3 linked regions of the Stegostoma tigrinum genome follow. The protein of the gene in region 1 interacts with the protein of each later gene in a biochemical or structural test. Links are inferred from orthologs where the notes say so. Each region holds a gene or a part of one and is shown on either strand. Other genes may lie near its edges. The genes, in order: prkcba, rasgrp3 and rack1.

The links.
Region 2: of the proteins of prkcba (region 1) and rasgrp3, one has a biochemical effect on the other in vitro, tested with the Homo sapiens proteins (2 studies listed by BioGRID). The link is inferred for Stegostoma tigrinum from reciprocal best matches to the Homo sapiens genes PRKCB and RASGRP3.
Region 3: the proteins of prkcba (region 1) and rack1 form a complex in vitro, tested with the Homo sapiens proteins (2 studies listed by BioGRID). The link is inferred for Stegostoma tigrinum from reciprocal best matches to the Homo sapiens genes PRKCB and RACK1.

Annotation. Positions count from the first base shown.
Region 1 is NC_081376.1:21,295,706-21,305,987, reverse strand, and holds the start of prkcba (protein kinase C, beta a), read right to left. Parts: upstream 4,920-10,282; 5' UTR 4,634-4,919; coding exon 4,470-4,633; intron 4,370-4,469; coding exon 4,338-4,369; intron 1-4,337. UniProt on the Homo sapiens protein: Calcium-activated, phospholipid- and diacylglycerol (DAG)-dependent serine/threonine-protein kinase involved in various cellular processes such as regulation of the B-cell receptor (BCR) signalosome, oxidative stress-induced apoptosis, androgen receptor-dependent transcription regulation, insulin signaling and endothelial cells proliferation.
Region 2 is NC_081362.1:81,543,798-81,554,189, forward strand, and holds the start of rasgrp3 (ras guanyl-releasing protein 3), read left to right. Parts: upstream 1-6,450; 5' UTR 6,451-6,660; intron 6,661-10,392. UniProt on the Homo sapiens protein: Guanine nucleotide exchange factor (GEF) for Ras and Rap1.
Region 3 is NC_081366.1:36,419,207-36,429,748, reverse strand, and holds the start of rack1 (small ribosomal subunit protein RACK1), read right to left. Parts: upstream 4,364-10,542; 5' UTR 4,250-4,363; coding exon 4,141-4,249; intron 3,155-4,140; coding exon 2,983-3,154; intron 2,796-2,982; coding exon 2,648-2,795; intron 1,042-2,647; coding exon 946-1,041; intron 1-945. UniProt on the Homo sapiens protein: Scaffolding protein involved in the recruitment, assembly and/or regulation of a variety of signaling molecules. Interacts with a wide variety of proteins and plays a role in many cellular processes.

The sequences.
Region 1 (10,282 bases):
GGTGTCTTCAAATAATAAACTGACAATTCAATGTAATATTAAAGGATGTCTTTGGATGAGCTGGCAAAAGCGGAGTGTTAACAAGCTTCTGGTGCTAATATCTCCAATGCCTGTTAAAGATCTCACATCACTGCTTGATAAAGAACAGGAAGTTCTCCATGTGTCTGCAATTAACATCAAACAATGATTATTTATCTCATTGCTGTTTGTGCACGGTTGCTGTATGCAATTGGCTGTGTGTATACATTAACAGCAACTGCACATTAAAAATAACCTTTTATACATGAAGTGTTTGGAGGCTTTTCTGATTTGACAAGGAATTTCATTATCTGAGTAAAAACGATTTTCATTAATGACTAGCAAAACATTGGTTGAGAAGTTTAGAGCTAGGGAAAATTACCTAACACTTCAATTCAAATCTTTGGAGGAATGAAGTTAAGAAACCTTGCCTCACACAAGAAATTTAAAGTTCTCTTGGTAAAAGGGCTGTTGATGTTACGTCAATTATTAATTCTGAACCGAATGTAACAGATTCTTGTTAAGCACGCATATTAAGGGATATGGAACAAAACCGTCTGGGATTAGATCACAGGTCAACCATGATTTCAATGAATGAGAGGACAGGCTTAAAGGGCTCAATATCCTGCCCAAACATTCCTTAAATACAAGAATCAAAGCTTCATCAGAATTAGCAACCAGCCTAACTCATCTCCACTCTATTCTCAAAATGAATGTTTAGAATTAAAATTAATGCACAAGATTAAAGTTCTTTAGCTAAGTCTTAATTAACGTGTAGTTAATGGAAAACTATGTGCCAGTTAGCTTGACATGAATAGCCAGGCGAATCCATTGTTTGGCCACAGGGGCACAGCCCTTAGGAATCACAGCTTTGTGGAAGCACGAATTTATGAAAGAAATGGTTTGACAAATCTGCTGAAATTGTTTGTAGTTTTCATTAGCGGCACAAATAAGGTGAACCAGTGAATGCAGTGTGTTGTATTTTCAAATAAGCACTTGATAATGTGCCATGCAGCAAGTCATTGCAAAAAATTAGGTCTTGCAGACAAGCATTATATATTAGTGACATTCAACATTGGTTAAAAGACAGAAAATGATAGGAACAAACAAGTGTTGTGCAGCTCAGCAGGTTATAACTAGCTAAGCACTGCTGGATCAGTACTTAGGTCTCAGGATATTATCTACATCAATGACGCAGATAAGGGGATGAGTGTGATACATCAAGTTTGTTACGATACAAGGTAGGTGGGAAAATAAGCTGTGAGGAGGATGCAAAGAGCCTGCAAAGAAATATAGACAGGCTAAGTGAATGAGTAAAAGCATGGCAGTTGGAACATAATGTGGAGAAGTGTGAAATTATTCACTTTGAAAGGAAAAATGTAAGAAAGAAATTGAATTATTTAAATGAAAATGACAGCAAAGGTTTGGTACTCAGTGGGACCTGTGTATCATTGTACATTGATCATAATAACCTTTATTGCAAACAGGACTAAGACAGTCAGAAAATCTTACTGCAAACATGTATGGTCTTGCTGCGTCATAACTGGAGTACAGTATACTAATGTTCATCTCTTCAAAGGCTGTACTTATTATTTTTGGGGAGGAGGAGATTCAGGGAAATTCAGAAGGAATCCTTCCCTGAACTGGATCATTCCGAACAAGGAGGGGGAGGTTTGCTGTTCATAAACTCAGAATAATGGATTGGTCATGTAGGATCATGACAGGAGGGAGAGTTTTCTTTACCCAAAAGGTTAAGAATCTTTGCAATTTTCTACCCTAAAAAGTTGTGACCCTCGGTCATTAAGCATATTATGGACAGAATTTTTTGGAAACTAAAGGATGTGAAAACGGGGCAGATATGTGGAGCTCAAGCAGCAGATCAACTACGATTGCACTGAATAGTCCAGCAAGCCCAAGGAGCCTAACGGCCTATTCCTGTCCCAATGTGAATTCTCATTCTGAAGAATTATTCCTGAGCACACACAATGATAGAAATCTTCAAATGGCAGCACTTGACTCCAACCAACCTAATGTGAGTGAAAATAAAACTCCCAAGATTGTGTGGCCAGAGGAGAATACGAATCACTATTTGATCCATGCCATTTTAGAGTTCTAAAGGGATTAAAATGTCAATATTTTATAAACAAAACCACTGTGCGTCTGTTCACACTGTGTCTGTGAAGCATATACAAATGCACAGCACCATGACATCACTCACTCACAGTCAGAATCTGCTGAAACAGATGGAGAAATCTCCACTTGCAAATCTTTAAACAAGCTTGAACTTCAAAAAAAAATACACGCTGGTGTTATCTTTCTAAAGAAACAGTGGAATTCCCATTCTCCCTACCATCACCCATTTGAAGACGCTATTGAACATTAATGCCAATCTAAAGCAACCCAGCAACAATGTAGAATACTTCAATTTTAATGCAGTCAGCCAGGACTCAGGGAGGAGAACTCCTGCCTCGGAGTTAAACTTAAATTCCACCCCCCACACCTGAGGACAAAAAAATTAAGGCTGACACTCAAGAGCACTTGTGAAGGTGTGCCATGTTTAAGAGATCTTAAACTGATGTCCCATTAGCCCTTACAGGGGAACATACAGATCCTTTTGCACTATTCCGAAGAGCAGGGGACTGAGTTCTCAGAGTCCTGGTCAATATTTATCCCCCAATCATCACAGAAATAGACTATCTCACCATCATAACGTTTTTTGGGGAGTTTGCTGGGACAACTCCACAGTACCTGTACAACACATACGATGTCCTGACATTATGCAAGGCAACATAGAATTCAAAGTTTGGACAGCAGCATAGCAATCGGATAAAAGTCAAGTCAGATTTCCGAGTTGGCAAATATCAACTGATGACAGGTGCTGTCAATAAGGTGGGCACGGAGCTGGCTCGCTTCTTCCTTCTATTTCAACTGAAAATACCAAATCTGCGGAAAGCTTGAGGGCTGATTTAGAAACGCTTGGGTATGTTCTACTGAATTACACCACTGGGATTGTGATGTAGGGGTTCAGCTTCATCCTGAAGAGTCAAAACTACTCAAATAATCTTCCCTTCTATGCAGTACAGACCGCATCTGTGCAACCCACTGCACAGAGTGAATCTAGTCGTCAAAAAACATCTCTAAGTCGTCACAGAGCAGCAGGGAGCAGGTGTAATCTGTACACTCACCAACCATCACTTCAGTCAGATTGGAATGCCTCTCCTCGGGACTAGGAAACAGATAGTGTGAAATAGATTGAAAGGGTTACAGTTGCCAACTAACCCAAGCCACACGTGGGATGTGCGGGAACAACAGTACGGTTTCCTTAGGTGCTGTTTCTTATATGGTTATGTGTGAAACAACCTGTCAGCCTGCCATTCGCAGTACCACCATCTGCTGATAGCACTGCTCTTCAACATGTTAAAGCCGAAACCAACTTTTCTATTTTTGTTATATACACACACACACACACACACACACAGAGAAAGAGAGAGAGATTCAGTGCTTCCGCTTAAAGGCAGGAAAGGGTGGGGTTAGGTTAGGCTTTAAGACGCTAACCTCGCAAAAGAAAAGTTGCACATTGTTCCAAAAAGGAAAAACCATCTGATTCAGCAGCTGTCTTTTGAAAAAAAAGTGAAAAGACGATAAATAAAATTAAAATCCGAAGAAACAGGAAAAAAGGGGATACAATTTTAATTGAGGCGCGCTGATACGAAGCAAGTTCAGGACAAATTTAAAAAGGGAGCATCACAGAAAGAGAGAACGTCAAACATATGGATATTTTGTAACGCTGTCTTATTAGAAGTGAAACTAGGAGGATAACGTTCAAATGATATTGTTAAAAGTCATTGATAAACTGGTCGCCTTCTGACTTACACGAGGCTCAATCTGGTAGGTTCAGAAAATTGCATTGAAGGATGGCACCTGCATCCGGCTGTGTTAACGAAAATGCAATTAAAAAATACAACAGAGCACAACTCCAGTTCGTCTAATCACTGATTTGTAGAAACGGCTGTGCACTTGATATTAAACAACTAAGCGGCGTTGCGCCTCTGTCCACTTTCCAATTACCATCGCAGCAAAAACCTGTTAGATTAAGTGGGCACTAGCAGCTCAGTATAACAAGTTAGTAAATTATTCATATTTAACGGAGATGATTCTGACTGCACCCCGCTTAATCTTCACATAGAGCATTACAGGAGCGCCACAAGTAAACTATTATTGACACTGTGCTGCAGATACTGTCCTGAGCTCATGACTCTGTAAGACTCCAGGCTGACAGTTAAAGACACTGTTGCTACTGTACCCGGAAGGACACCCACCTTGACACTGGAATCCCTGCTTTCCGAATCCCCTGTTAAAACAAAGACAAACAATCACCATTAATGACATGTGAAGATGGGCATTGCAAGCAGTGCTCTAGTTTGCTTATGGACGAGGCTAATGTCTCTCACCAGATAAAGTCAGTGCAGTGGCTGCAGAACGTGGGTTGCTTGAAGAAGCGAGCGATGAATTTATGGTCCTTGACTTCGTGCACGTTTTTCTGCCTTAGGGCACCTTTGCGGGCGAAGCGAATGGTGTTCTCCTCGCCCTCCATCGCATACACATTGTCAGACATCCTTCAGTCCCCGCTCCAAGGCTGCACCAGCAAACAGTAGCCCGCAAAACAAAAAAAAAGCAGGGACTCGGCGCTGCTCTTACCTGTGTTGTTGTTGGTGTGAGCCAAACGGGCAGAGAGCTAACAGCACAGTGAGGAGCCCAGGCTACGTCTGCTTCACACCAGCACACGTCAGGATGCCCCGCCTCTTCCAAATTCAAGCCTCTCGCTGTCTATTTACATAAGCAGTGCTAGCGAGGCGCTCTCCCAAAGGCGCGCACACACACACACAGCTATAGTCTCTTCTGTCCGTCTCAGATCTATTATATAAACACTGAAAGCAGCAACCTGGTAGGAGTTGAACAACACCCACCCCACCTCCCCAAACACTGCCAAGCGCTCAACAAGTGGCTCCTGCAGGCAGTTTCTCATCTCCCAGTCACAGCCCCGAAGGAAATGGTACATCTTTAGGATCTTATTGGTGGCAGCAGGCGGTGAGGTTGAGCGCCAAGTCATCTGCTTGCGGCGCCCTTCCATTTTCCGATCTGTGAAGAAGTGACAGTTCGGGCACAGACTCTGGTTTTCTGGTGGTTGGCTGACTGTCAAAAGGGCCCAAGGAGAGTAGATAAAACCATGGAATTGCTTTAGTGAAACCAGCGGCGAGGCTGAGGGCACCGTAAACCCCGTCAGGGAGACATTTCATGTGTAGTGACCACCCGCCAAATTTGGCGTGTGACTCAAGGCTAGGAACCACCTTGCCATTTCTTATTTCCAACATCGATATAGAGCTGGGGAGATTCATTGTGAGAGCTCCTAGTAGCAAGGTTTATGACCCCCGTTGTGGAAGTATCAGATCCCCCCCCCCCCCCAACTTAACTATGTCCTGTTCCCTTCACACTGGAACTGCTTCCTTTAGTCGCTTTTCTAGCTCATTCCTTGAATCATGTGTGTATTTATTCATTCCCTTTATCTAAGTAACATAAGGCCCGGGGGTTTCCTCCGTGGGCGCATTCGGAAAGTGTGCTAAAAAAATCCCCCAAACGAATTATTATGAAGTTAGAGCGCAAAATCAGCGCAATATCCGCGCAGAGCTAAAGGGAGACTGGAGCTGGACGATAGAGGAGGGGTTTCAGGGAGGTGTCTGAGAGCACAGCCAGGGGAATTGCAGGCTCACAGCTCTCCTGCAGGTTTGGGAAATTCATTTCGCAAGTTCTGCTGAGAATCTACATTGTCTGAATCTTTTCCGCGATTCTTTACAAGTCACTGACTGTCAGAACAGATTTGTTTGGAAAACCAGGGTGACCCGCCGAATAAAGTGAAGGGGACCACATGTAACTGCCCCGGCCTTCCTGCCAGAGATGGTTGGAGTGCTCAGAGGCTTCTCCATTACCCAGAGACAGGCTCTCAACAAACCCCGGCAAACTACTATCCTCAATCCAAGTAAGGAGAGCGGCAGAATGTCTTCCAGAGCGCAGGAAGGGTGAGAGTGTAGGGGCAGGGAGGAACGTCAGTGAAGGGTGAGTGAGGTGAGGGAACAGTGGGAGTGTAGGGTGAGGGAGGAGTGAGGTGAGGGAGGAATGTGAGTGTGAGGTGAGGGAACAGTGGGAGTGTAGGGTGAGGGAGGAGTGAGGTGAGGGAGGAAGAGGGAGGAGTGTGAGGTGAGGGAGGAGTGTGAGGTGAGGGAACAGTGGGAGTGTAGGGTGAGGGAGGAGTGTGAGGTGAGGGAGGAGTGTGAGGGGAGGGAACAGTGGGAGTGTAGGGTGAGGGAGGAGTGTGAGGTGAGGGAACAGTGGGAGTGTAGAGTTAGGGAGGAATGTGAGTGTGAAGTGAGGGAGAAATGTGAGGTGAAGCCCCCAAATTATTTTTCTGCGCAATCTGGAAGAGAGGCAAAGTCAAAGGTCTTCACTTTGCTGCTTTCTAGGAGTGCAGCCTCACCTTCAGGCCACCCGTAACAAGGATGGCTTTCCTGTCAGTCATTTTGTCTTTTATCTTCTAGTCAGAGAGTTGCGGCAGGCATCAGGATGCTTCCTATTTCCATGCAGGATAGGCTGCTGGGTGTTGCTGACACCTACACACCAAGGAACCTAAATGCCTTTCTCTTCAAATAACTAAGTAAATAACTTCAGTGGAAGCTTTCATTGCCAAGTGTAACCTGGCATTCAGTCCAATCACTGGCAAAACCAACAATTCTCTAGAAACTCGGTCTGTTTCAGCTCTGAGTGCAAATTTGATGCACTGTCCAGCCGTACAGTAGTAACCTGCAGAATGTTGTCGGACACTGGCTGGACGCAGGTCTCCTGTGACAACTTGGAACAATCCACAGACCTGAAAGTTGAGATTGTATTGACATTCATGTTCACCATAGGTATGCTGCAATTTGTAGCGTGAGCCTTCAGGTCATTTTGGAGCATGTTGCACTGTAAGCCAGTGCTGGCTTCACACATTTATACAATCAGATTATTCAAAAGTCCATATATTCTCAAGACAAGTCACATAGAAACAGGATGAAGTCACTTTCTGTTGCACATAATTTTTAAGCCTTCTGTGCCTGAGTTTTCCTTTCTTTTTCAACACTAAACGCCATGATAAAAATGTGCACATTCTTGACCTCTTAAAAAAATAATTGGATGTAAAATTTCATTCTGCTCAGGTTAGAAATAATGGGATTTTCAATTCATACCTAGTCAGCTGACCTATATTTGTAGCAAACACAAATGCCTCTAATTTGCAAATTTGGGTATTTTCTTTGGAGATTTCCCCAAAAAGCACAACTGAAGGATAGTATTGCTGAACAAAAAGACATATTTTGTTGGAGCTTTTTATTTTGAATTCATGAAAAGAGTTCACAGAAGTACCAAAGATAAACACTGATTGATAGGTCAGAACTCTACTCTCACAGAGTAGAAATGTTCTTTTCTTTTTACTTTAGTGTTTCTTTTTTTGCAAATTGCCCTGAAGGATAATCATGTTTGAAATATTAGAGAGTGGATGGTTTTGAGAAAAGAGACTTGTTTGGACATTGTGTTATATAGATGCTTTTCAGCAATACTCATGCAATCCAACAGATCAGACACCATCTGAGGACAGAGAATCTGAGTTAATGTTACAGATCAAACTTCTCTCATCAGACTTCAGCTTGTGTAGAAAATAGCAAGTGTTAAACAAAGACTTGAAACCTGATTTGAAGAAATTGGGTGGTATGGTTAAGAGTAAAAATATTAGAAGGCACAAATAGACAGTTTAAAAATTAAAAAGGACTTTGGACAGCATTTTTAACATGCAAAGTAATCAGATCTGACTTTCTTGTCATGATTGCCTTTGGAATTCTGTGTCTATCCAGAGATTCCGGGGCATTTAGTATTGTGAGTTAAAAAAAATGAAAATGGTAATCATAAGAGATTGGAGCACTGTAGGTTACTCAGTTCATTGAGCCTACTACATAATTCAGTAAGATACTTTCTGATCTGAATGTGGTCTAACTCCGTTTTGCTGCCTGCCTCCACAACCTATGACTTTCTTCTCAATCGAGAATCTACCTAGCTTACCCTTAAATATATTCAATTACACAGCTTCTACTGATCTCTCTGAGAAAAATCATTCTAAGATTAACGATCCTCTGACAGAAATAACTTTTCACTCCAACTTGAAAGGGAGGTTGCTTGTTTTTAAACAGTAAACCCTAGATTTTGATTCTGCTGTGAGGGGAAGCATCCTATCAGCATCTACCCTGTGAAGCTCCACCAGAATCATTTTTAAATTCTTTCATAGGAAGTGGATTCTGCTGGAAGGGTAGCAATTGTTACACAGCCCTCATTGCTATTTAGTGGTTGGTGGTGAGCCCCTCTCCTGAAGGAATGCGTTTCCTTTTGTGCAGGTGCACCCACACTGCTGCTGGGAAGAGTGTTTGCGGATTTTGACTCAATAACTGTGAAGGAATGAGAATATAGTCCTGAGTCAGGTTGATGTGTGAGTCAATGGGGAGCTTGGGGATGTTGGTGTTCCCACGTGTCTGCTGCCCTTGCCCTTCAAGGTGGTACGGCTCATGGGTTTACAAGATGCTGCTAAATAAAAGTCTTTAGGAATTACTGCAACACCCATTACTGACACTGTGTATCAGTGGTGGGAGGACATGATTGTTGAAGTTGGTAGACAGATGATCAATTGGTGGCTTCTTCAATAGTATTGAACTTCTTGAATATTCTGTACTCATTCAGACAAGCGGTGAGTATTCTAACATATTTCTGACTTGACCTTTTGGATGGTGGGAATGCTTTAGCACTCAGGAGGTGAGTTACTGACCACAGAATTCTCAGCCTCTAACTTGCCTTTGTAGTCACATTATTTATAGCACTGATCCTGTTATGTTTCTGGTCCATCATAACCTTCAGGTTTCTGAATGTGAGGGTTCATCAGTGACAATGCAATTGAATTTTATTAATGACTTGGACGAGGGAATTGAAGGATGGATCAGCAAGTTTGCAGACGACACAAAGGTCGGAGGTGTCGTTGACAGTGTAGAGGGCTGTTGTAGGCTGCAGCGGGACATTGACAGGATGCAGAGATGGGCTGAGAGGTGGCAGATGGAGTTCAACCTGGATAAATGCGAGGTGATGCATTTTGGAAGGTCGAATTTGAAAGCTGAGTACAGGATTAAGGATAGGATTCTTGGCAGCGTGGAGGAACAGAGGGATCTTGGTGTGCAGATACATAGATCCCATAAAATGGCCACCCAAGTGGACAGGGTTGTTAAGAAAGCATATGGTGTTTTGGCTTTCATTAACAGGGGGATTGAGTTTAAGAGTCGTGAGATCTTGTTGCAGCTCTATAAAACTTTGGTTAGACCGCACTTGGAATACTGCGTCCAGTTCTGGGCGCCGTATTATAGGAAAGATGTGGATGCTTTGGAGAGGGTTCAGAGGAGGTTTACCAGGATGCTGCCTGGACTGGAGGGCTTATCTTATGAAGAGAGGTTGACTGAGCTCGGTCTCTTTTCATTGGAGAAAAGGAGGAGGAGAGGGGACCTAATTGAGGTATACAAGATAATGAGAGGCATAGATAGAGTTGATAGCCAGAGACTATTTTCCAGGGCAGAAATGGCTAGCACGAGGGGTCATAGTTTTAAGCTGGTTGGTGGAAAGTATAGAGGGGATGTCAGAGGCAGGTTCTTTACGCAGAGAGTTGTGAGAGCATGGAATGCGTTGCCAGCAGCAGTTGTGGAAGCAAGGTCATTGGGGTCATTTAAGAGACTGCTGGACATGTATATGGTCACAGAAACTTGAGGGTGCATACATGAGGATCAGTGGTCGGCACAACATTGTGGGCTGAAGGGCCTGTTCTGTGCTGTACTGTTCTATGTTCTATGAATGACAAGGGGAGATGGTTAGATTCTCTCGAGACAGTCATTGCCTCACACTCGTATGGCGTATGTGTTACATGCCTCTTACCCACTCGAGGCCAAATGTCTTACTGGCATTGCTGCATGTTAGCAAGGACTGCTTCAATATTTGAGGTGTTCAACTGACATTTAACATTGTGCGATCATTAATGAATACCCCCATTTCTGATTATGATGGAAGCAGAGTAAATGATGAAGCAATTGAAGATGGTTGCACCTCAGACAATACCCTGACTAATCCTTGCAGCAATGTCTTGGGACTTAGACAATTAGCC
Region 2 (10,392 bases), on another chromosome or scaffold:
CCATCAATATCATATCGCTGTTTGTCTTTTGGCCACTACTATAGTGATGACATCTCAAAAATACTGGCTGCAAAATGCCTTGGGAAATCTTAAGTCATGAAAGGCATCGTCAAAATATTGGTTTCTACCCTGATCACTAGAATCAGGTCCATAAGCGAGTGGGCCCTAAACTCTACCAAAGTCAGTATCATGCAGCAATGGCTAGTTTAAATTCTAGCACTTTACTGTTAAGAGCTTCCCCGGCTTATATCAGATTGATTTAAATTAATACATTGCTTGGAAAGGATCAGATTAATATTTGAGGCACGAGTACGTGCCACATTAGAGGATTCAGCCATCCTGAGGATTTTCAGCTTTGGGATTAATTTTGCAACTCCCACTCACCCACCATCCAACTTCATTTAAAAGGCACGCGCTGCGCGGAATTAGAGTTACAGTGTCAGAGATACGGACCCCAGTATTCCTTCAAGCATTGATCCTCATTAGGGGTGTGTGAGTGGTCATTCGTAAGTCACAGAAGTTTACAGCACAGATGGAGACCACAGGGCATGTATATCTGCACACTCCCTTCAAGTGAGCATCAATACCTACTGTCAACCTCCTGCTTATTTCTCAACATAGTTGCAGATTGTTTCATTCCAAATAATCATCTAGTAGCCTCTTGACTACATCAGTTGAATTATCTTCCATTTCACTTCCAAATGGCACATGCCACACCCTAACGACTCACTCTGTTAAAAAAGATTTTCATCATCTCACGTTTTTTTTTGCAAACCACTTTAAATCTCTGACCTCTAGTCTGTAATCCCTCTTTTGAGTAGTAACAGTTTCTCCTAATGTCCCATATCCAGCACCCCTCATGATTTCAAAAAGCTCTATCAGAGGATAGAGGATAGGTGACTAAAGGTATTATTGGTAGACTGTTAATCCAGAGACCTAGGGAATGTTCTGGGCACCCAGGTTTGAATCCTGCCACTGCAGATGGTGGAACTTGAACTCAATTTTTAAAAATCTGGAATTAAGAATCTTAGTGATTACCATGAATCCATTGTCGGAAAAACCAAACTGGTTCACGATTAGGGAAGGAAACTGCCATCCTGACCTAGTCTGGCCTACATCCAGACCAGCAGAAATGTAGTTGACTCTTAGCTGCCCTCTGGGCAATGAGGGATGGGCGATAAATGCTGCTTAGCCAACGATGCCCTCATCCTGTGAGTGAATGAAAAAATATGACCTTGCCACCTTCTTGCCAAGGAGAACAGATCTTTGACATTCAACCTATCTTCATGTCGCACCTTCTTCAATTCTGTCCTCAAGAAAGACATAATATCTGCAGGATTATGTCAAATGTACAATCTCTGCTCTCTGTACATGACAAACCACAACACCTTCTGGTCGCCAACCATTTTAACTCCCTGCCCCACTCACTGGGTGACATGTCCATCCTGGGCCTCCTACTGTGTCACGATGACACCATCTGCAAACAGGAGGAGCAGCGCCTCATATTCTGCCTCGGGAGCCTACAGCCCAATGGTTTAAACTTGGAACGCACCAGTTTTAAAATTTCCCCACCCCTGGCCTCATCCCATGTCCAACCCTCCCTCTCATCCCCACCTCCTTGACCTGACACAACCTGCCCATCTTCTCTCTCACCTATCCACTCCTCCTACTTGACTGACCAATCCCCACTACTGCCTACCTGCACTCTCCATCCCACCTACCTTCCCCAGCCCCATCCCTCCTCTCGATTTATTTCCCAGCTCCCTTCACCCTCCCCCATTCCTGAAGAAGGATCCCAACCCAAAACGTCAACATCGTTGCTCCTCTGATGTGCGCGACCTGCCATGTTCCTCCAGCTCCACACTGTGTTATCTCTGACTCCAGCATCTGCTGTTCTTGCTATCTCTGGTCAATTTCTTGTAGTCCACTCCATACATTTAATTTAGAGTGAATAAATACCTACATTTCACCCAGTTGATGATATTTTCCATTATTATTCAAGAACTCATGTAATCTCATGCCAGAAGAATATTTTCTTAGTATGAGCCGCATGCATAAAATTTCAGAAGTAGCTTCTCCCTTGTGGCTGTCAGGAACTGAACATCAGTTGGAAACTCACTGTTGGTCAAATCATATGTTCACTCATGATTGTGGACGACTACAAGCTTGTGATTTACACACAGTGGCTTTTGTTGGTTTCGTGCCTTTTTATGCAACCAAATCTTATTAAGTTCTTATTAAGTTGTTGCAAGGACCTGGATCCAACAGATTTTCTGCCGTGTGTAGGTAAGATTAAATGAAATGCTGAAAGCGCTTTGAAAAACACAGTTGTGCATTGTTTTAGATAAGGCATGCAGCTTTTCTTCACAGAAGACAGCACTTCCGGAGGGAAGTGAAAGACATCTCTACCAAGTAAAGGCAGCTATTTGGTAACTATTAGAATAAAAACCAAAAGAACTGCAGATGCTGTAAATCAGGAACAAAAACAAAGTTGCTGGAAAAGCTCAGCAGGTCTGGCAGCATCTGTGGAGGAGAAAACAGAGTTAACGTTTCAGGTCCGGTGACCCTTCCAGAGCTTTTCCAGCAACTTTGTTTTTAGTTGTAGGTAGTTCTTAGAACGTTTGAGCATAGCTGCCTCTTGCATAGCTTAAATCAGCTAATGTGCTGACACAATTGAGATCAGACAAAGATGCCTCAAGCTTGAGGCAGGATTCCTGCGCCTATACTGAGGTAAATCATCTCAGCTAGTGTGACAATCAGAGCACTTACCATTCTAGGAGGCAGAAGTTACTGGGATTCCTGATCACTATCCAATTGTTTGTTAGTATTTGGCAAAAGTGAAATGAAGCTGAAGTCTAATTGTTTCATCCATTCTTCTGTGGGATATGGGCAGGCTGGGCCAACATTTATTGTCCATCCCTAATTGCTCTGGAGACATTGGTGATGAGCTGCCTTTCTCATCTGTTGCAATCTGTTTGATTGAGGTAGACCCACAGTGCGGCCAGGAAGGACCTTTCAAGATTTTTAGCCAGTGACAGTGAAGGGATAGCAAGTCAGGATACTGTATGGCTCAAAGGGGAATCTGCATGTGGTGGTTACCCTGTTTATTTGCTGCTTTTGACCCTCTAGAGGGTAATGTGTGTTTGGAAGGTGCTCTTGAAGGAGCATTGACTTGTTGCTGCAGTGCACCTTGTAAATGGTCCACTCTGCTGCCACTGTACATCGATACTGGAGGGAGTGAATGCTGAAGTGGGTGGATGGGGTTGCAGTCAAGGGGGCTGCTTGGTGTTGAACTTCATCTGTATTGATGGAGCTACACTCCTCTAAGCAAGTGGAGAGTATTCCATCACACTCCTAACTTACACTTTGTAGATGGTGAGTGGGTTTTGGGGAGTCAGGAGGTGAATTACTTCACTGCACGATCCTAGCCATTGGTAGACGGTGACAAGCATTTTCTACATCCATTCAAGAAGTGACAAAGGCAAATTTATGGGAGTGAACAGATTATGGCAAACACAGTTCAGTTTGGGAAAGTGTGATGCCACCTACCTGGATCCAAGAAAGACAAAAAATAGAATATTTCCTTCATGACAAGTGACTAGAAAGTGTGAGGATTGTGGAGATGTAGGCATTTGCTTTCACAAAGGCTAAAAATCTTTGTCTTCACCTGTAAGGTGAACTGGAGTATTGCAGTGAGGAGGCATTTGCTTCAGTTTTAAAGAATCATGATCAGATCCCATCAGGCAGATTATGTTCAGTTTAAGAATCACAAATCATTGGTCTTGGAAAGAGTAAATTTGCCAGAATTGCATCAAGTTTGATACAGTTAAATTGTGAAAATAATTCCATGAACTTGGCTGGTGTTCTTTGAGTTTGGTAGGTGAAGGGATGACCATGTATGATCAGGGTGCCTGAAAAGGTAATTTCTTGGCAGTAATTAAGGTTAGCCTGTAACTAATCCATCAGAGATACTTTGTAACTAGAGAAAGAGTCAGTTGTCACACAGAAAGAGAGCAATGCTGGGAAACAGTGAGGAATTTTGCAATCTGCGGCTCAGAGCTTTTCTGTCACTGCATTGGATGACTTGGTGGTAGAGGTGGCAAGGGGAACGAGATGTCCCGAATTCATATGAGCGTACAGGAGGTCCTCAAGGCACACAGTCAAGGAGATGACTGGTTTACAGTTGAGTGCACAAGGATGGATCAAGTTGCTGATAGCACTTATTGACTAGAGTAGGCTCATACATGAACAATGTTGGAGAAGGCAGTGGTGTAGTGGAAATTCCATTGGTCTAGTGATCTAGACTTACGCTCTGAGGAATAAAAGCACAAACAGCAGATGCTGGACTTCTGAAATTAAAAAAAATTAAAACAAATGCTGGAGAAAGAAAATGTGTGGAGAGGGCAAGAAACAAAGTCAACATTTTGAGTCCAGTCTGACTCTCTTCTTTAGATGTTAACTGTGTTTCTCTGTCCATAGATGCTGCCAGATCTGCTTCTTCAACACTTTCTGGTTGTCGTAATATTAATGCCCTGAAGGTTCGAATCCCAGCATAACAACTAATAAAAATTCAATTCAATTGATAAATCTGCAATGTAAAGATAGTTTCATGGCGCCACTTTAGGGAAAGTAATCTGCCATCCTTACCGGACCTATGTATGACTCCAGGTCCATAACAGTGACCTATCAATCCATTCCTTTGATGGATACTTGGGGATGGGCAGAAAACACTGTCCTTTGCAATGCTAGTAACATCCCAGAAAAGAATCGATTCCATCTGGGAAGAAGGAAAAGGTAATGCTAAAATATCATGACTCTGAGGAATGATAGTACATACATTCTTCATGACTTCAAGGGCTCATAAGAGCAAAAATAATGTTGTGATGGGGAAGAGAGGAGACATAGAGGCACACAGCACAGAGACAGTCCCTTCGGTCAGTTGTCCATGCCAAGCAGGTTCCCCAAACTAAACTAATCCCATTTGCTTGAGATTGGTCCATATCCCTCTAAATCTTTCCTGTTCATGGACATGTCTTTTAAATATTGTAACTGTACTTTACCTACCACTTCCTCAGGCAGTTCATTCCACATATGAACCACCCTCTGTGTGAAACGTTTGCCCTGCAGGATCCTGTTAAAATCTTTCTCTGATTGCCTTAAAAGGTTGAGGCAAACTGAGGAAAAGCCAATACATATTTGATAGCTTGGCGATTGAAAAGTGCTTGTGAGTTCAACATTTCTGTGAAGTTGGAAAAGATGTTTTTCAGGAATGACTCCATCTCTCTAAGTGGCTGGTCCTGAACATGTAGATCCTCTTTCTTTTATGTGAGAGTTGCCCTAAATTATAGAGGATCTGCAGAGCAAAAGCAAGCCATTTGGCCCATACCACTCCACCAAAGAGGATACATCCCCTCCAGACCAAACAGCCCCCACCCCACCAGCCCATGACTAACTCACAGATCATGGGCACCTTACAATGGCCAATTCACCTAACCTGCACATCTTTGGTTTGGGGAATAAACGCACATAAGTACAGAGAGAACACATAAGCAATCACCCAGGGCTGGGATTGAACCTAGTTCCCTGGGATAGTGAAGCAGCAGTGCTAACCACTGAACCACAGTAGAAATAGCTATCAAAGGGGTCTTGTTAGTTGGGTGCTGGCTATGTGGAGGGAAAACTTTTATAAAACTGCCTTTTGCATGAGAACTCCCCATACAGACAGCAAACTGTCGAATAAATCTCACAAGAAAATAACAGCAGACTAGTGCAAAATGTTGGCTTCATTTTCGTGCCTGTGGCAGGAATAAGAGGTGTTTGAATGACTGAGCAATGATTTCAATCATCAGTTTATGACAGATGTGTGTGTGTGTAAAACAGATATCTAGCTTTGTGACCTGTACAAACAAGATTTGAATTTCTGTAAAACAGATTCACTATTTGTAGCACATTGCTTCACATGCTTTAAGAGTGTGGGGCTAGACTGAATATAATTAGCATTTCAAGTTCCCCTGTTCCAACACAAGCTCTTTAATTGGCTTCTGAGTAATACACCTCCTGCGAAAGGAACCAGTTGTCTTTTATACTTAATGAGAGACTTTCCAAGAGCTTCAGAAGTAAAGAAATTGTGGTATCCACCAGCTGGATGTTTACTAGTGTGAGAAGTAAAGCAGTTGTCCTGACCCCAGGCACAGTTGATATTTTTCTGTGTGAGTATCTAAATAACTTTGGTGTCTGACTGTAACTGCGAATGCGAGAGAGATTAATCATTTACAAGTTGTTGAGAAGCTCTTTGTGCTTTGGGTAATGAAAGTGCAGCACTGCTGAATATAGAATGTTAGTTGTCAGTGTGTAGGAGACAACGTCATTTACCTCCCCCTATACTGTGGCTGTCCTTATCTGTTTCACTCATGGGATGTCAGCATGTTTGTGCCTCTCTTTGTCAAACTATTTCGAGCATAAATTGACTCTTCTAACACTGACTTTAGCTTACATAATTGACATGCCTAGATCGTGACATCACATGATGCTGCAGCTTAGCAACGAGCAGAAAGAGTTTAAAGTCTATGGGCTTCAATGCATCAGTAAAACTGAGGGAGTTAGGAAACATGTTGCAGCTTCGGACAGTGGAGTGGGGGATCAAACAGCCTCTTACATCTGGTAAGTGCATTTACAATCTGAACTGGCAGACTTTCTCATGGATGTGCAAGAGCGATGAAGCAAAATTGGCAAATCTCTCCAGGAGTTCCAGGCTGTCGAATATTCTCAGGTCAGTCTTACAGTAACAAGCTTCTTTTTCAAAGCCTGCCCGTGATGTGTAGCACAAGTTAGAACTGAAACTGTGTGCATGTGGGCCTGCCAGTATGGGACTGCAGTTGCTGTTATCTTAATCGTGTCTATGCTGCTAAAGAGGACAAGAGCTGGCTTCCAGTTGTGTCATCAGCTTCGAGACCACTTGCCCTGCCATTTGTGTAGCTCATGTGACAACCCAGTCAAAGCCTAGGGAGTTACTTTTGAATTTCCAACCCATACAAGTGCTTAGTATCTGCAGAAATCGGTGGCCTGCATACAGGCTTTGAGTGACAGCTCTGTTTATCAGACCTTCTTCTGACAGGAAGGTCAGGAAAGTTCCTAATGTTAGCCTGGACCCTGGCCAGTGTCGGTATTGAAGAATGGATAAGGTAAAGTGCACTACTGTCATAGCTCCTTTCTCCAGCTGATATCCCCAGCAAACGTTGTAAAAAGAGAATCAACAAGGTATGACCTTTTCATTCTGATGATCCAGCATTACAATCCCTTACTCCGCCACACCAAGCAGGTGAGTAGTATTTCGCCTTCTTTCTAATTTTAACAACAGTTCATTAACGTGGAATTTCGGTGTGGTGATGGCACAGGCCATTCAGCCTGTCCTGTCCATGCCAGCAACATGCAAGAGCAACTTAACGAGTTCCACTCCCTTGCCATTTTCCAGTGCCCTGCAATGCTTTTCCATGCAGATAATTATCCGGTTCTCTCTGAAATTCCCACTATGGTAGCTGTTTTTATGAAACAAAAGATTTCCTCCTGCCACCTTTAGTTCTTTCACTGTTCACCTTTAAATTGGTGTCCCTGTCTATTAAGACTTTTGCCAGTTAAGATGCGACCAGTGATTTTATGCAGGTTCACTGGGAAGATGATGTTAAAGGTTAAAGGGTTCAGAAAAGATTTACAAAGATGTTGCCAGAATTGGAGGGTTTGAGCTATTGGGAGATGCTGAATTAGCTGGAGCTATTTTCTCTGGCGTGTCGGAGGCTGAGGGGGTTTATAAGTTTATAGAGGTTTATAAAATCATGAGGTGCATGGATAGGGTGAATAGTGAGTAGGGGAGTTCAAAACTAGAAGGCATGGGTTGAAAGTGAGGAGTGAAAGATTTAAAAGGAACCTGAGGGGCAACTTTTTCATGCAGAGGGTTGTGCGTGCATGGATCAAGCTGTCAGAGGAAGTGGAGGAGGCTGGTTCAATAACAACATTTAAAAGGCATTTGGATGATTACATGAATGGGAAGAGTTTAGAGGGATATGTGTCAACTGCTGGCAAATGGGACAAGATTAATTCAGGATATGTGGTGGGGTGGACAAGTGGATCGAGGGGTCTGTTTCTGTGCTGTACATCTTTGTGGCTCTATGATTCTCACCTCCTTCCTTCTCTGCTCCATTCCTGTTATTATAAAACTCAGCATCCCTTGTGCCTTTCTCAATCTGCCCTGTCACCTTCAGTTGATTTGTTCACCAATAACTCCAGGTGCTTTTGCTTGTACACCCATTTAAAAGTGTATGCTATATTTTATGTTGCCTATCCTTGCTCTTCTTACCAAAATCCATCACTTTGCATTTCCACAAATTAAATTTCAGCTGCTAGGCATCTGTCCATTGAACTGACTGTTGACATCCTCTTGATAATATTCCAGTATCTTCCTCAGTGTTCACGATACTTGCAGGTTTTGTGTCATCTGCAAGCTTTGGAATCATGAACTGCATACCCACGTCAAGGTCATTAATGCAGATCAAAAGAAACAGTGGTATTAACACTGACTGCTGGGAAGCCTTACTATGTACATTCCAGGTTGGAAAATCAAGACCGTTACTCTGTTTGCTGCCACTCTGCAATGTTCATTTCCAGGCCACTGCTAATCCTTTTGTTCCATGTGCTTTACTTTGCCGATAGCCTCCAAAATTCACTCTGAGATGCTTTTGAAAGTCCATCACCTCAGTAACTCATCTACCTTCTCATGCGAAAAACTTCAATCAAATTAAATAAATCTTTAACAAAGCCATACCAATTTCCTTAGTTAATCCACATTTGTTTCAGCCACTGTTAATTCTGCCCCAGACTATTATTTCTGAAAGCTTCCACCACTACCAAGGTTAAACTGACTGGCGTGCCAGGTATACCTTTGAACTCTTTATTTTGAAAGAAGTGTTTAGCATTTCTAATTCCCCATTCCTCTTGTAATGCTCCTGTGTCTGAGGAGAATTGGAAAATTATAGCCAAGTATTTCTGCAATTTCCACCCTTGCTTTCCTCAGTATTCTGGAATGCGGCTGGTCCGATCCTGGTGATTTATCAACTTTAAACACAATCCAGCCCCTCGGTGTTTCATTGATTAATATCCAACAGTGCCTCAGCCATCTCCCGTTCTTCACAATGACTTTGGAAACATCTTCCTTGGTACAGAAAAATGCAAAGTTCTCACTTCCTAGTTCAATTATGCCCGCTACCACCCTGTGTAAAATCTTCTTTGCGTACCCTACTTAGCCCATTGCTAATCTTCCTACTTATGGTAACTTCATATTACCCACTGTTGAAATGCCGTATTAACTAGAATCTCTGATATCCCCCGATCCCTGTCTGTTCCAATTTCCTTTTGTAAGAAAGCCCAGTCGGAAACCCACAAAGCCGCTCAGATGTTCAGCTCTTTTTGTTTTTTCTTTTAAAGAAATATCTGTCTGAAGGTCAGAAGCACAGATTTTTGAAACTCCAATGTTGAATATATGCCATTTGACATCCCTGGGCACAGCTTGACAATCAAACATAGATTGTATAATTTGTTTGCATTGCATTGTACTGTTAGGTCCATTCAGAGTAAACATGTGTACTCGGAACTGTTTATTTAAACCAATGTGATGCTATCCAAACCAGTGGTCTTCAGCTGTGGTGATCAATCTGTTCGGTTCTATCTTTACTGTGATGCTTTGTTGTTTCTGAGGAGGGGCGGTGGGGAAGAGCTACACCGGGTTTGACTGTCCAGCTGTTTCCTGCTTCTCACTTATATTATCAACTTGACACCTGTCTTACATGATGTTTAATTATTTCATTTTACTCTCTATCGCTTGTCATCCAGAGAGCTCTGGCTTTGTTTCTGCTGTATTTCTCTGTGGAAAAGTTCACGATCTGTACATGAACTAAGGCCTCTTTGAAGACAGTCCATTGTTCCAGTTTTGCTTCCTAACTTTTGATTCCATGGGCTAAATTGATTCTCACCAACTGAAATTAATCCTCTCCCCATTAATAATTTTGAATCTAGATTGCTTCTTGCTGTTTTTCATAGCTGATGCACTCATGATTACATTATGATCACTGTCTCCTAACTGTTCCCCTATTGATACTGATCTACTTTACCTCATTCTCCAGAATCAGATCCAACGATGCCTCCTACAATGCCTCCTTCCTCTTCTGATCAGTGCATTTCTGATCCCAATAATTTGCCTGAACATACACAAGAAGCTCTTCATCCTCTCAACATTTTACACTATTAATTTCCAATCGTTTGAAAATAATGGATCTCCCATTCAGCCCGGAGGTGAGGATAAATTTATTCTCACTGAGGGTTGTTAGTCTGTTGAACTCTTTTCCC
Region 3 (10,542 bases), on another chromosome or scaffold:
GTATAGCTAATATGGCACCTTATGTTGGTGACATTAGTTACATTGTAACTAATCTGTAATTGAAGCAGCTGTTCCCAAATATCTTTGTTCTTAAGGTGGTGCTATAAGTGGCGACTTGTAAACATTTAAGTATAGTGACAATAAACCTAATTCAATTCAAGACGAAAAAAGATCAACTTTTCACAGGTAGGCCTAACACTACAATGGCAAACAAAACAAGCAAATCCATTTTAGGGTTGAATATACAAGGAGGTCTATACAAAAATTTCTATCATATACAACCAAGCATAACGAACCACGTTCATCACTTCACCCCTGAAAAAACTGAGAACATATATAAAAAGTCAAATACTAGTCAAAAAAGCACCAAAAACTATTGGTAAATCATTAAAAACAACAATGCAAGAGAACTAAAGACACCTTTGGTATGAAATCAGTTTAAATCAACGCCAAGCCCAATGATCACAAAACAAAGAGAAAAACACTGAGTAGTGCATTCAATCTACCTGAAAAGGGAACAGGAATGAAAAAAACCAGTACTGAGTACTGATGCACTGAGCCACACATGAATCATGGTTACCCAGCATGACGTGAATGTTCTGCTAAGGAACCAATTATAAAATAAAACTACAGGTTGTGCCAAGAATCACAACATTGATAGAAATTAACAGACTAGCAGAAATTAATGGTGTGTCTGGTGAAAAGTAATGAAATTCCTGTTCGCTCAAGGCACAGAGACTGAGGAGGCACAAACAGCCCTGGTAATCTCTCCAACAAAAACAGTGAGCTTCAATAAATCAGAACATCTATTTTCAGCTCTTTGACAACCCAGCCTTAACACGAGTGCAGACCCAATCCATCAAAACAGAAAACAGAAGCAATTTCCAACAATGTTAACACCAGCATCTTTCCACCCCAACACTTATCTCGATTCATCACTCTTACCTTAACTAGTTTATCCCAGCCACAGGAGACTATGATGGGGTTGCTGCTATTTGGCGAGAAGCGAACACAAGATACCCACTCGCTGTGGCATTCATCCTGTAAGAGAGGGAAAGTTGAACAAAATTTCACATGGATTGTTAATGCTAGAAAAGATCTGTAATGTTCTTAATTGCCACCAACCCTGCAATTTCACAACTCAGTCCGTCAATTAAAGAAAGGACCTGAAGGCCACTTACCACTACTAAACCCCCACCTCCACATCTGCTCCGCCATTCAGTAAAAAGCTAACCTAAATCATAACTACATGTCCACTTTTCTGCCTGTTCTCCATAACTGATTTCAAGGTACAATAATCTGTAAGTTCATCATGAATATGAGAAAGTCACTACTCAGAGGATGCACAATTCCATTAATGAGCCAAGAAATTTGCTTTCATCTCAAACTTTAAGTCAGAAATATTCTCCCATTCTGCAACTGCCAATTTTTTCTAGGCTCCTCCACAAGGTAAAACAATTTCAATGTTACCTTCCAAGCCCCGAGGTACTTTTCAACAAGATTACTCATTCTTCTCAACTGAGGTCAAAGGCCTAACCTTTCCTCAAATCAACCGCTCATTCTGAACTGCCTCTAATGCAAGCATGTCCCGTTGTAATTAAAGCTCAAACTATAAATTGTACTCCAACACCCTGTGCAACTTCCCACAATTAGTTGCTGCTTCTACATTCTAACAGTTGAAATTCATACAAGTAGCTACGCAGATTTGTGTATCATATTCAATTTTCTGCTTTCCTATTCTTCCCGGCAAGTGGATAATCTTATTGTCTCCCACACTTATGCCAAAATATCAACCATTCATTCATACTAATTAAATGGCTTTGCAAACTGTATCCTCACAACCAGCTTCCTTACCTATAGAGTCAGCAAGTTTGGCTATAATAAACAAACACATCCTAGTGCCCAACCAGTAAAAGGGGCTGACCTTATCTCGCTTCTTAAAAGCAAAGTCTCATTCATATGATAAATTTCCAGACTGGTGGCCCTGCTATTTTTGCTGTTCAATTAAATATTAAGCAACTCAAGAAATACCAAACACTGTTGAACTCAATGTTCAGCCATTTATATTCACGCTCACATCTCCTTTCTATTATGTAGTAACCATACTCATGTTATTTCAAATGGTGTAACTAAGAAGTCTACAACTGAATTGAGCAAAGGATAAACACAGTTCATTCATTTATCACTGTAAATTAAGCATATAATTTAGAACTTAACTGTGTGCTATACTTGTCTAGCCATTGCATTTAAACTATCGATACGAACTTGCTACCATTTCAGAAAACCCTCCAGCCACATCTCGAACAAAATAATCACTACCAGTTCATGTGTTCAGTTTGGGTGGAAAGGTAAAACACAACATTCAGACCAGCTGCCAGGCAGTCAACTTCTTGAGAATTAACTTCTTTCTGTACGTAAGTAGGAATGCAATTAAATACATGGGAATTTCAAAGCAAAAGACGTACTGTAGATTCCTTAAGTTCACAATTATCATTTGAATAGAATTGACAATGAGATATTCAATGTTTCAGCTTCTGCTGCCTGAGAATTTTGCACATGAATGCCAAATACGTAATAACAAAGTGAGATATTTTTCCCCTACATAGTGTAATAGCCATGCTTGGAAAAGTAATTGTGTCTGAGTTACCTGGATGGTGTATTTGCAAACACCTAATGTGTTCCACAGTTTTACAGTTTTGTCACGGGAACCAGACACAATTTGGCGATTATCAGCTGAAAAGGCAACACTCAGTACGTCCTTGGTGTGACCTACAAATCGACGTGTAGTCGATCCCCTGGAAGAGGAATTGTATTAATCATCCCAACAAGTAGTGAAAGAAACGACTGCAAATAATCAAGCAAAAATGTCTATTAATTTCTTTGGAACAAGTACCATTAAAAACATTTAAAATGCACCCGCAACAAATTATTCCACTCTTATTAAAAATCTGATTGTAGGCAATAAATTATTTGCATTCTTACATTGTCAAATCCCAAAGTCGTAGAGTTCCATCCCAGGAACCAGAAAGGGCAAACTGACCATCAGAAGAAATGACTACATCACTAATAAAGTGAGAGTGGCCACTGAGGGAACGCTGTGGGACACCATAGCTGGTCTCATCCCTAGTTAGCTTCCACATGATAATTGTTTTATCTGTAAGCAGAAATAAGCTTTTAGAACACTGCATTTAGATTAAGGTCACAGTTTGCTATATGAAAAGTTACTTTCCAGTTAGGGTATGAACTGATGTAATACATTTAAGTTTTCTAAAAACCAAATAGCTCACTTTTGCTCAAAATTAGAAACAAAACTAGTAATATTCCTGCAAGATTCCTTGGGGCATTTTACTTTAAGTGTGATAAAGTAATGCAAGTTATTTTAGGTCTGGAAACGTGGCATTTCAGATTTCAATACTTTCAAAGATTAATTTGAAACATACTTTTCTTCTATAAATGTTATTTGCCCAAAGAATAGAATTGAAAAGAATACATTAACGGGGTGCTCTCTCCACACTCCACCAGTTTCTGTTTTAGACTTCCCACATCCACAGATGTTTTGCCTGTGCAATGTCCCTTTACATCAGAAATAAGACAACACTCAATTTGTTACTCATTCTGCAAGCATTGGCATATTTGTAAGTATAAATTAATGCACCGGCAGTAAACCACTTTAACTCGTTAAAGCCCACAGGTCGGTAATTAACCTCAAGTTATTGAACTCTTAAAAAAGTGATATCCCCTGGCTATCAAAAATCTTGAAAGGCGGAGCAGACTCGAAGGCCCGGACGGCCTACTCCTCTTCCTAGTTCGTATGTTCCGTGTTCTAACGTTTCAGTTTTAGCCTCCTGATGGACACACAACGTGGTTCTGCAGCATTCGAGCTTGTGTGTCAGCAGCAGTGACTCGTTGCAATCGACTGAGAGCCGGGCCTAATAAGCAACGGAGGGCCGTAAAACTATCTACGTGTAAACCGTGAAGAAGTCCGGCTACAGACAACTCGAAAAGTTAACATAACGGGACTAAAAGAGAAACAGGCATTCATGATAAAACATACGGCCGAGAAACGGCTGCTCGGTCCGCCTTTGGCGGCGGATAGAGCCCGCACCCCGGTCCTCTTCCCTCCCCCTCCACGAAGAGTACCTCGGGACGCGGACAGAATCATGTCAGGAAACTGCGGGGTTGTGGCAATTTGTGTCACCCAGCCACTGTGGCCTTTTAGGGTGCCACGAAGGGTCATCTGCTCCGTCATTTTGAGTGGAGATGGGGCGTCCTATAGACGGATGAAAACGGATTGCAGCAGAGGACTCAGCCTCAGAACAACGCGCGTCCACCGGGCCGCAGAGAAAAAGGAAGCGCTCCGTAACAGGCCCGGACATGACGTCAATGGCGAGGAGAGGGCTGGGTGATTTTGATGGTGGCGCCGTCTCCTTGGTGACGTTTAACTTGATGTTGCCGGTTGGAGCTGCAAACTGTTTCGAAATAACAATTGTATACTTATAGCAAAATCAAGAACCTGATTGAAAGCAGCTAGCTGCCTCAGTCTGTTCTCAAATTATTCTGTCACACGGGAACTTACACCCGGAGGGAATGGATCCAACGATTCCAGTTACCCTTTCGACTGCTGGAAGTGTCAAAAGGCACTGACCAGCCAGCAGCAATCACTTGGAACTGTTGACCAAACAAGCAGTTGGCTGGGGACTGGAGCATTAAAAGATAATTTTGATAGCCACAAAATAGCAGAATCTAGCTGAATAGAAATTGCACATGGTAATTATTGACATATGAAGAAAGACTGAATCAACTTGGTTCGTACTCACTGGAATTTAGACGAATGACGGGGATCTCCTGGAAACATATAAAATTCCGTGGGAAGAATGTTCCTGATGTAGAGGAAGTCCAGAACTAAGGGTCACAATCTAAGAATAAGTAGTAGGCCATTCAGGACTGAGATGAGGAGGAATTTCTTCACTCAGAGAGTAGTGAATTTGTGGAATTCTCTACCTCAGAGAGTTGTGGGGCCACTTCATCAGATATATTCAAGTTGGAGCTGGACGTGGCCCTTATAACTTAAAGGGATCAATGGGTGTGGAGAGAAAGTGGAAACGGGATAATGAAATTGCATGATCAGCCATGATCATTTTGAATGGTGGTACAGGCTTGAAGGGCTGAATGACCTACTCCTGCACCTATTTTCTATGTTTCAATGTAATGTTTCATTTTGGTTGTACACTTGGCGATGTTCCTTGATAGTATGAAGCACCATAAATGCAAATGTAATTTTCTCCCTCCTGAAAAAAAGACAGGCTTGGAGACTGTGACTAACTCAAACACATTAAATGAAAAGCAGCAACGATCACATCAATTTTGTGCTGTGTACCACCTGAACTTTTTCACTCAATGCTAAGCAACCACTATTGATTATGTATGTCTGAAAAGGGTGCCATATCACGAGTGGATAGCTGCATTCAAAGCTAGTCTACACCACTTAAAGGGGAATATTTTGGCAATTATGTTAGTATGTTTACAGATGACACCAAAATGGGTGGTGTAGTGGACAGTGAAGAAGGTTATCTCAAAGGACAAGAAGGCCTTGATCACATGGGCCAAGAAATGGCTGATGAGGTTTAATTTGGATATGTTTTAGGTTTTGCATCTTGCTAAGGCAAACCAGGCCAAGACTTCTACAGCTGATGGCCGAACAGTGGTGAGTGCGCCGAACAAAGAGAACTAAGGGTGCAGGCGCATCCTTTTGGAAGTGGAGTCACAGGTAGACAGGATGGTGAAGAAGGTATTTGGCAAGCTTGCCTCCATTGGTCAATGCATCGAGTATAGAAGTTGGGACATCATATTGCATATAAAGTCATATAAAGTGAGGCTACTTTTAGAATACTGTGTTCAGTTGTGGCCTCCCTCCTGTAGGAAAGATATTAAACTTGAAAAGAGATAGTAGGAATTGCTGATGCTGGAGTCTGAGATGACAAGGTGTAGAGCTGGATGAACACAGCAGGCCAGACAGCATCAGAGGAGCAGGAAAGCTGACGTTTTGGGTCAGGAACCTTCTTCAGGAATGGGGGAGGGGAAGGGGGCTCTGAAAAAAATAGAGGGGGATGCGATGATAGAAGTTTGACAGAGGAGCAGATAGGTAGAGAGAAGACGGACAGGTCAAGGAGATGGGGATTAGGCCAGTAAAGGTGGGTGTAGGTGGGGATTTGGGATGGGGGTTGGTCAGTGAGGAGGGAGGGACGAGTACGTGGGAGGGAAGATGGACAGGTTAAGATGGTGGGGTGAGGCTATAGGTGCAATGTCCCCTCCACAGTGGTCAAGAACGCCCTTGACCACATCTCTCACGTTTCCCGCACCTCAGCCCTCACACCCCTTCCCCGCAATAACAACAAAGACAGAAATCTCCTTGTCCCCACATATCACCCCATCAACCTCTGGATTCAACACTTCATTCTCTACCACTTCCGCCACCTGCAATCTGACCCCACTACCAAGGACATATTTCCCTCCTCACCCTTATCTGCCTTCCAGAGGAACCGCTGTCTCCACGACTCCCTCATCCCCTCCACACTCCCCACTCACCCCAACACCCCTGGCACTTTTCCCTGCAACCGCAGGAAGTGCTATATCTCCCCCCTCACCTCCATCCCAGGCCGCAAGAAAACCTTCCACATTAAACAGATGCTCACCTGTACATTCACTAATGTCGTATACTATATCCACTGTTCCCGATCTGGCCTCCTCCACATCGGGGAAACCAAGCGGAGGTTTGGAGACCGCTTTGTGGAGCACCTACACTCAGTTCATGATAAGCGACAACACCCCAGTCGTGAACCACTTCAACTCCCCGTCCCACTCCTTGGATGACATGTCCATCCTGGGTCTTCTCCAGTGCCACAACAATGCCACCCGAAGGCTGGAGGAACAGCACCTCATATTGTGCTTGGGAACCCTGCAGCCCAATGGCCTCAATGTGGACTTTACAAGCTTCAAAACTGCCCCGCCCCGACCTCATCCCAAGACTAGCCCATCTCATCCCCGCCTCCTTGACCTCTCCATCTTTTCTTCCACCTATCCACTCCTCTCATCTCACTGACCAACCCCCACCCCCACTTCCTACCTACTAGCCTCATCCCCGCCTCCTTGACCTGTCCATCTTCCCTATCACCCACCCCCACCGACTAACCCCCATCCCAACTCCCTACCTACACTCACCTTTACTGGCTTCATCCCTGCCTCCTTGACCTGTCTGTTTTCTCTCCACCTATCTGCTCCTCTATCCACCTTCTATCATTGCCTCCCCGTCTCTCTATTTATTTCAGAGCCCCCTTCCCCGAAGAAAGGTCCAGACCCGAAACATCAGCTTTCCCACTCCTCTGATGCTGCCTGGCCTACTGTGTTCATCCAGCTCTACACCTCGTTATCTTAAACTTGAAAAGTTTCAGAACAGATTTATGAGAATGTTGCCAAGATTGGAATGTTTGAGTTATAGAGTGAGGCTGGAGCATCAGAGGCAGGGGTGACCTTATTGAGGTTTATAAAATCATGAGGGGCACGGATGGGGTGAATAGCCAAGGTCTTTTTGCTAGGGTAGTAGAGTTCATAACTAGAGGGCATGGATTCAAGGTGAGGGGGGCAAGATTTAAAAGGGATCTGAGGTGCAATTTCTTTCGTGCAGAGGTTAGTGCACTTATGGAACAACCTGCCAGTGGAAGTGGTGGAGGCAGATACAATTACAACAGTTAAAATGAATCTGGATGGCTGCATGAAATGGAAGCATTTAGAGGGATATAGGCCAAATACCTATATAATGGGATCAAATCAGTTTAGAATATCTAGTGAGAGCAGAGAAGTTGGACTGAAGGGTCTGTTTCCGTCTGTTTAACTCTATGACACTAAGTGAATATAATAACTGAAGAATGGCGCAACATACAAGAAATGGGCCTCCAAGGTTTTAGCTGATGCTCTGGAGGCCTTAGTGAATGAGGTAAACAGTAAGAAACATGATCTGTACCTGGAGGAAACCAAGAAATCATCTGCCACAAAAGATTATGGAAGCAGGTAGCTATGGCAGTCAATGCCAGTAATTAAGACCTAAAAGACCAGGAGGTAGGGCCATAAAAAAGTCAATGATTTTGTATGAGTCGTAAGATCAGTGAGTGTATTTTCAAATGCCACATCATACCAACAGGGTAACATGCAAGCAAAATGCCCCTGAGCAACAGGGTATGATGTGGGGCATTCAGCTTGTGTCATTGGGAGGGCTGAATGTTGTCTCACTGACACTTGAACCATTTGATTCACCTCATTTCCAAGTTAAACTAATTTGGCAATGTGAGGGAATCAAGAAAGAATAATTAAGGAAAATGTCAGACCTGCAAAACACTTTGAAAAAGCCTGGCACTAGCATTGTGAGTCACAAATAGGTGAATTTCAAGAAGTCGAGGAGAAAGGTAAGTCCAAAACAGAATAAATATGTATACATATAAGTGCATGAAGCATAATAAATAAGGTTGGGAAGTTACAGGTGAAGATTGCAACGTAGAATTATGATGTGGCAGTGATAGAAACTTGGTGGAAGGAAGCGTGAGGCTCGGTGTTAATTATTCCTGAATATAAGTTGTTCAGGAGAGGTGGAAAATAGGTAAAGGAGGAGTAATAGTAGTATCAGTTAAGGAGGTATTTCAGTCCTCGAGAAGGAAGATGTCTCAGAGGATTCAAGGACGGGCTCAATTTGGCTAGAGTTACAGAATAAAAATAGTACAATAACATTGTGCAGTGTAGTCTGCAGACCACCAAAAGTGGAAAGGATGTTGAGGAACAAATCTACAGAAAGATGCCAACATTATAGAGGAACTTCAGTCACCCACATATAGGCTGAATACTGGTAGTGTAAGGCACAACAAGGGTCAAATGTTCCAAGATTGTGTTTGGGAAAGGTTCCTGCAGCAATATTTTACAGGCCAATAAGGAAGGGTACATGTTGGACCTGGTCCTTGGATATGTGGATCAAGTGTCAGTGAGACAACATTTAGGAGACAATGATCATTGTGTGATAGGGGTCAGGATGGTGTTGGAGAATGACTTGGAACAACCCAAAATAAGAAAAATCAATCAGTGGAATGCTGACTTTAATGCGACAAGAACACAACTGAGCAGAATTGATTGGAATAAGAGGTTAGTGTGTAAAAACAACAACTGAACAATTGGCTACCTTCAAAGAGCAGATGTTTCAGATACAGTTGAGTTACATTTCCTCTCACAGAAAATGTAGGGCTAACAAATCCAGGGTCCTCCGGCTGGCAAAGGAGGTAGGAATTAATGTGAGAATGAAAAAGTTTGCCAATAACAGGTATGAGGCAGAAAATACTATTGAGAACAAACAGGAACATAGAAGGTTCAGGTTGGAGGTGAATGAGCAAACAGGAGAAACAAAGGGGACCTATGAAAAAAGATCAGTAGCCTGTATGAAATCTCAACGTCTTTGATAGGCATATAAACAGTAAGAGAATGGTTAAAGAAGGAGTAGGACCGATCAGGGACCATAAAGTGGATTTACACATCAAGGTATAAGGCATGGTTGAGGTGTTAAACAAATATTTTACATCTGTGTTTACAAGAGGAGGATGATGCCCAGGATATGGTGACAAGAATGGCAAGTCTCTCAGAACAGTTTAAAATTTATAAAGTCCTGGATAGATTGTTGGCTCTTAAGTTGATAAAACACCAGGTTCAGATAAGATGCATCCAAACATTTTGAAGGCCATGAGAGTAGAAACTGAAGGAATACTGGCCATATTTTTTTCCCTGGAACATGCCAGAAGACTGAAGAATTGCAAATACAATGGCTTTGTCCAAGAGAGGTTGTAAGGACAATCCCAGCAATTACAGACCAGTTATTTTAACTTTGGTGGTGTGGAAACATTTGGAAACAATTATTCTGTACAGAATTAATAGTCATTTAGGAAAAGGTGGGTGGATTAGAAGAGTTAAAATGGATTACTAAACGTGAAATTTTGTCAAACTAAAATGTTGCAATTTTATTGAAGAGGTTAGACAGAATGTTAGTGAGGGTAATAGTGTTGATATATACGTTGTGTTCCAGAACATGTTTGATAATGTCACACAACAGGCCTGTGAGGAAAGTTATGGAATCATGATATAAAAAGGACAGTGGCAACATGGATACAAAATTGACGAGGAAACAGAGTAATAGTCAATGGATATATTTATGGCCTGGAGACAGGTTTGTCGTAGAGTTCCCCAGGGTTGGTTTGGGACCCTTACTTTTTCTGATATATATCAATAATCTTGATCTTGCTTTGCAGGGACATTTTCAAGTTTGCAGATGACACTAAATTGGAAGAATTGTAAACTGTGAGAGGATAATATAGAACTTCAAAAAGATGTCAACACAGTGGCTTAGTGGTTAGCACTGCTGCCTCACAGTGCCAGGGACCGGGTTTGATTCTAGCCTTGGGCAATTGTCTGTGTGGAGTTTACTCTGGCTGCTCTGGTTTCCTCACACAGTCCAAATAT